Linked DNA regions of Mus musculus. The protein of the gene in region 1 purifies or fractionates together with the protein of each later gene. This does not show direct contact. Links are inferred from orthologs where the notes say so. Each region holds a gene or a part of one and is shown on either strand. Other genes may lie near its edges.

What was found. The genes of interacting proteins can lie anywhere in the genome.
Region 2: the proteins of Styk1 (region 1) and Tmem259 purify together in Homo sapiens (affinity purification with mass spectrometry; 3 studies listed by BioGRID and IntAct, with this or other methods). This does not show direct contact. The link is inferred for Mus musculus from reciprocal best matches to the Homo sapiens genes STYK1 and TMEM259.

The regions. Positions count from the first base shown.
Region 1 is NC_000072.6:131,311,028-131,315,199, reverse strand, and holds the start of Styk1 (tyrosine-protein kinase STYK1), read left to right. Parts: upstream 1-1,372; 5' UTR 1,373-2,217; coding exon 2,218-2,281; intron 2,282-2,614; coding exon 2,615-2,749; intron 2,750-4,000; coding exon 4,001-4,172. UniProt on the Homo sapiens protein: Probable tyrosine protein-kinase, which has strong transforming capabilities on a variety of cell lines. When overexpressed, it can also induce tumor cell invasion as well as metastasis in distant organs.
Region 2 is NC_000076.6:79,978,941-79,981,260, reverse strand, and holds part of Tmem259 (membralin), read left to right. Parts: intron 1-1,507; coding exon 1,508-1,765; intron 1,766-1,870; coding exon 1,871-1,970; intron 1,971-2,052; coding exon 2,053-2,163; intron 2,164-2,270; coding exon 2,271-2,320. UniProt on the Homo sapiens protein: May have a role in the ERAD pathway required for clearance of misfolded proteins in the endoplasmic reticulum (ER). Promotes survival of motor neurons, probably by protecting against ER stress.

The DNA.
Region 1 (4,172 bases):
ACACAGTTATGCACCCCATTGGTGATGTAGGGTCACACAGGTGGCCCAAGTTAAACCCTGTGGGTATAAAAAAAATAATAATAATAATAAAAAGAAGCAAAAACCCAACAAACTAATGTATAAAGGAAGGAGTGTTGTAAGGAAGAGGCAGGAGGAAAATGTGTGTGTGTGTATTTTGTGGGAGAGGACCAAAATGCATTATATACTTGTATGAAACTTCCAAAGGACAAAGCAGATTACTAATAAAAAGAATCTACAACAGTAAACAAGAAACTAGTCACTGTAATCTATTTGGAGAATTGTTAACTGGAGCAGGAAACATTTTTATGCTACAATATTTTACATTATGATTTTAAATTCATGTGTGAGTGTCTGCATGCCACTACATTATTGTGAAGGACATCGTCTGATATCAGACCTCTTGTTCCAGGCTCTGTTTGTTGTTTCACCTGCAGTGTGCAGCAGGCTAGCAGGCCTGTGAGCTTTAGAGGTGCTCCGTTTTTCTGCCTCTCATCCAGGAAGGCTGGGATACACAAATTCCAGGGATCCAAACTTGGGTTCTCAGGCAGTCACAGCTAGCAATTTACATATTAAATCATCTCCCCAGCCCTATGTTTGTTTGAAGCACATTTTCATATAGATGTATTTCCTTTTTATTTAAAGGAGAAAAAAAAAAGATGGCTCTTTCTATAGTGACACTTTCTATAGTATAGGACCTGGTTAGAATGTGGGTTTGTTGAACTACCTCTGATAGGTATTGAGGAGGTCCACATAAGCTTTCAGAGCTAAGGGACCAAAAAGCTTTTGTTAATAAATGATGTCTATTTAATTCTTCAGAGGGTGCAAGTAAATCAGAATAGGCAAGCAAAAACTGACATCAGGCTTCAGCCCTTTCCTTCAACATGAGATTTGTATGGAAATTCCAACTTTGGGGGTAATGCCTTGGCAATCTGATGGCTCCTTCCAGGATGGTTATACCACTTCTCAGTGAAGACAATAAAGTCACTATTGATCTGGGATGGATTTCAAGGACAATAATACAAGTGAGAAAGGTGATCTCACATGTGTTATTGTATGATTCCATTTATATAATATGATGACAAAATAATACAGGGATGAGACAGATTCCTTGTTACCAGGAGTTAGGTGTAATACAGGAGGGCGTGAGTGTCGTTCAGGAGACAGTGCTAGCTAGAGCTTGAGACAGAGCAGTTATGCTGGGGTATACAGAGATCACACACATACTAAGGTAGACAGGGAACTTACTAGGTAGCCACAGGCTGGCTTCTAACTTGCCATCTTGCTGTCTTTGTCTCTAGAGTGCTGTTTTTGCAGGTGTGAGTTGCCTTGTTTTGGTATTGCATAGTTACATTAATATGTGGTCATTGGGGGAACTGGGTGAGGGATACAGAGAAAGAGGACACATCTGTTGTGTACTTGTAACTTTACATGAAACTCTGCTTTAAAATTAAAGGGAAGCAGAGGCAGGTAGATCTCTGGAGTTCAAGGCCAGCCTGGTCTACACAGTGAGTTCTAAGATAACCAGGGCTACACAGAGAAACTCTGTCTCCATCCAGCCCCCACAAAGTCCCACTGAACTTATTGGAAATTGTTCCTACATTATATTTCAGTTGGTTGATGTAAAATAAAATATTTATATGTTGTATGTAAAAAAAGCATAAATCATCTCTTGGCATTTGCCATATATATTTATTCAGACAATGGTTTGGATAAAGGTGGAATGAAATGTTATGTACAAAAATGTGACATGCAGCTGAAATGAATTTAACATGCTTCAAGATTGTAGCAGGGGTAGATATTTATCAGCAGTCAGGATGGTTCGGCGGGTCCCTACTTCAGCATGATCACATAAGTCTAGGGTGCCTTTACAATACTTTCAATAACAATGAAAAAAGGAGCAAGGCTGGAAAGTTGCAAAAGAGAGAAAGTAAAATGCATTGGGGGGAAATGAATGTTTTTCAGACTGAATTTTAGAAAAAAGAGCAGAGAGGAGTGGGTGGCTCAGAAAAGACACTATGTGCTTAGTAACTAGAGTGTCATAGGTATATTTAAATTTTCTACATGTGCTGTTTTTTGTTTTATGTTTTTTGTTTTTTTTCCCTAGAATAATAACGAAGTCTTTGGAAATACTGCACCACTGCCGCTGTGCTCCGTGCATCCTCTGTGCGCCTAACAGAGGAGGTTGGCCCTGTGGCCATGGGAGAGAAGGGTCACCTGAGCCGGGTGTTGTTGGAATGCAGTCTCAGTGACAAGCTGTGTGGTAAATGCAGATACCACATCTGCCTGTAACCGGATGCCAGAACAATAGAGACTGATTTCTGGATGTTTCTACAGGAGGAGGGTGGTTTCACTTCTAGTGGAAATGAATAGGGGGTGGAAGGCATCATTTTTATAGGGTGAGGGTGACATGCCAATCAGAAATAACAAAAAAAGATCCTTGATGGTCTAAACCACAGGGTTAGTGTCTGGTTAAGGTTGGCCTCCATGGGTCTCCATTGAAGGGAATGAAGAGAACTCAGGAGCACTGAGGCATGCTGGGTAGGGGGAACTGTGGCAGGATTCTTACTTCTATCCCCATTTATGGCCTACACAGTTGTCCGAGAGAAGCAGTATGAAGTAATCATTGTTCCGGCTCTCCTGGTTGGCGGCTTTCTCATCCTTCTTGCAATCATCCTGTGGCTTTTTATCAGAGGACAGAGATCCCAAAGGCAGAGCCCTGGACCCCGAGGTAAGGCTCAAACTCTAGGGGTAGGCATGGGTTCAGGGACGATTGATTTTAAGAAAATCATAACCCAGGTTTTCAATAGGCCCATCCCATAGTCAGATCTTACAAATGATAAGCCCAAGCCGCTCAATATCTCTCATGTCCAATGATTTTCTCTCTACCTGATCCCAACTCTATAGTGACCTAGTTTTCCCTTGATAACACAGAATAATCCATGAAGGCCTTGATTGGTCTCTCAGCTCATATATTTTAAAGCCCTCCATCAGTTCGCTGTGTTTCACAGAAGAGAATATAGTAAGGTTCTTCCTAGGGCCCTGTATGATCTGGCCCCTCTGTCTTCCACATCTGTCCAGCCATCCCACTTGGCTCCCTCTGTACTGCCTTCTTTGCTGCTCCTTAAACATCCTAAGTGTATCCTTCTCTTAGTGCCTTCATACATCTTGTTCCATGTGCTACAGTGTCATCATGGTTTGCTCTGTAATTGCTTCTAGGTCTTTATTAAATGTTACCCTATCTAAAAGGCCTATATTTGGCATCTATAGATAAAATAGTATCTCCTCTTGCTATTTCCCCTCCTAACACACTGTCTCATTCATTCTTAATGCTATATGCTCTATGATTGAAAACTAATCTTAGGTAGATCTGAACTTTGTCTATCCTCAACTCAGAGAGTGCATATGGTATATGGTGATATTTACTGAACAGATTGATTGATTAACAAATTATTAGAAATACCAGAAGGAAACTTTCTTAGCCAGTTGTAATGGTAGCTGTGGATGGAAGGTAGTCTCAGAAGATCTTTTGACTATGATTCATGAGAATATAAAATGATTCCACATTTGAGAGCAACCTGAAGAAAGAAAAACTACAGCTTATGGATATAATTTTGGAAGTCATATGACTGACTTAAAGGCTATCCCTGCTGGTAGTAACTGCAATATTTTGGTACCTGTGGTGTGGATTTCGTTTTAGAACTGTCCTGTCTTGGTGCTATACCCATGGGGAACACTGAAGATAATCCCAAGGATTATTAAAAAAAAATGACCACTTTCAAGGGCTTCATCTTTAGTTTTCTACAAGGAATGAAATTATTATGACCATTGTAAAGCTCAGTGTTGGTATTCATTCACTGAGAAGCATCAGAAGATGTCCTTGTATTAGTTGTAGAGAAATTTTCCTAGCCACTTTATTCAATCTGCTTTTCTGGTGTCCCCAGGGCAGGGGCAGTTGATGGACATTACCTCTTTGTTCTAGGCACTGCCTCTGTACCTGCATCTAGGGGCAGAAGCCAGGAGGCAGCAGGACATGGAGAAAAAGTACTTCTGCCTCTTAAGGAGACCTCAGTGGAGGGCTTTCTGCGAGCGGCCACACCCCGCCTGGCTAAGCTGCAGGTGCCCAGGGAACAGCTCTTGGAGGTTCTGGAGCA
Region 2 (2,320 bases), on another chromosome or scaffold:
CCTTAGGACTGTGGTCTGGGAATCCAGTCTCGTCCCTGAAGGGTGCAGGGATGTGAGTGCACACAGTGGGTGTGCCGGGATGTAAGGACCTCATGAGTCCCATCACCCTACTCTATGTTGGGCACCTTATTGGGCCAGGGTCCTATGCTGGCCAGCAGAGACATGGTGGGAAGCTAGGGTGTCAGTTGGGGCCACAGAGGAGGGTGACCCTAGACAGCTACATGGAGTACTGGGTCTCTTTCAGCCCAGTGCTCATGGTGCGCATGTGCTGTCTGCAAGTGTTGCACGACATCCCTGCTTCCACTCAGCATGGGTTAGGGCAGCGAGCGGTTCTCACCCTTCCTGATACTGCAACCCATTAATACAGTTCTTCATGTCATGGTGACCCCCAACCATAGTTTCTATTCCTACTTCATAACTAATTTTGCTATTATTAATTGTAATGTAAACATCTGTGTTTTCCAGTGGTCTTAGGCAACCCCTGAAGGGGTTGCGACCCACAGGTACCACTGAATTAGGCGACCCCCCTACACACAGACACATAGCCACCCACACACTGAGCAGGAAAAGAGAAGGGTGTTCCCAGAGGCTGGGACCCCTTGAGTAACTCTGCTCCAGCATAGGGGCGTTTGAGATTAATAAGTAATATTAATAGTTGATGCATGCCTTCAATTCCAGAGTCAGAGGGAGGGGGAATCTCTGAGTTCAAAGCCAGCCTGGTCTACAGAACAAGTTCAAGGCCAGACTTGTCTACACAGACACTGTCTTGAAAACAAACAAACATACTTATTTTGTTATGTGTGTATTCATATATGTGTGGGGCATGTATCCCACATGTGTGTAGAAGTCAGAACAGTTTGCAGCTGTCAGATTGCTCCTGCACCTTACATGTATGGCCTGAGGATTGACCTCAGCTTCTCAGGCTTCCTGGCAAGCTCCTTTATCAAATGAGCCATCTGATGGCCCACATTCCCTCCCCCACCCCTTTTAAATGTACTTGAATATGTGTGGCTGGGTCAGCATCAGCAGGGCATCCTAAAACCTCCAGGGTGCTGAGCAGAGTTCACGCCAGGAGCCACCCAGTGGTGAGCCACTCATGTTCTTAACATGCCCTGGCTCTCCTGGATGCGCCTTTTCTAGATGAAGCCACATTTCCCAGGCAGGGTAGCCTGGTCCTGCTGAGGTGCCTGGGCCCTACCAGGGCCGATCAGCTGTGTCCTTGTGGCTTCTGCCAGCCCCAGGAGCAGGGCAGAGGGTGCTTCCCTAGGGACAGTGGCTATTCTTAGCCAGTGAGATCAAGGGTCCCCTAAAGGCAGCTTTGCGTTGGAGCACCTGCTGGGCCTGAAGGTCATGAGACAGCTGGAGGGTGGTGGTACAGGGAACCCTTGCAGTGGGGACCCTCAGCCAGCTAGTTCCCAAGGAGGCACAGGCAGCCATTGCTTCTCCTGCCTGGGAGGGGTGTGTCCCCCGCCCTGCTGACTGCTCACCCCACCCCCCTCACCCCTAGGCCCTGTTTGTGCTTTTCGTCCTCGCCTACATACACATCGTCTTCTCCCGGTCCCCCATCAACTGCTTAGAGCATGTTCGAGATCGATGGCCGCGGGAGGGTGTCCTGCGGGTGGAGGTGCGCCACAACTCGAGCCGGGCACCGGTGATCCTGCAGTTCTGTGATGGGGGCCTCGGTGGCCTGGAGCTGGAACCCGGGGGCCTGGAGCTGGAGGAGGAGGAGCTCACAGTGGAGATGTTCACCAACAGCTCCATCAAGGTGAGCGCGTTCTGGGCATGTGGGCTTGAGGTCATCCACCCAGTGGAACATCATCAGGCTGCCTCCTGCAGGCTCCACTGACACCGTGCTCCCCTGTGCCTGCAGTTTGAGCTGGACATTGAGCCCAAGGTGTTCAAGCCACAGAGCGGTGCAGATGCCCTGAACGACAGCCAGGACTTCCCTTTTCCTGAGACGCCAGCAAAAGGTGTGCAGCCCAGGCAGGGAGGGTTCTGAGGCCATGCTGAGCATGGGACCAGCCCAGCTGACCACTCTGTCCCTGTCTGCAGTGTGGCCACAGGATGAGTACATTGTGGAGTACTCACTGGAATATGGCTTCCTGCGGCTATCCCAAGCCACACGCCAGCGTCTGAGCATTCCTGTCATGGTGGTCACCCTAGGTAAGGCAGGCTGGGCGCTCTGGCAGGCTGGGGCTGGGCCAAGGATGGCTCAGCTGCCGAGGGCTTCCTGGCCTCTCTGACCAATACTGACCCCCATTCACTCGCAGACCCCACGCGGGACCAGTGCTTTGGGGACCGCTTCAGCCGCCTATTGCTG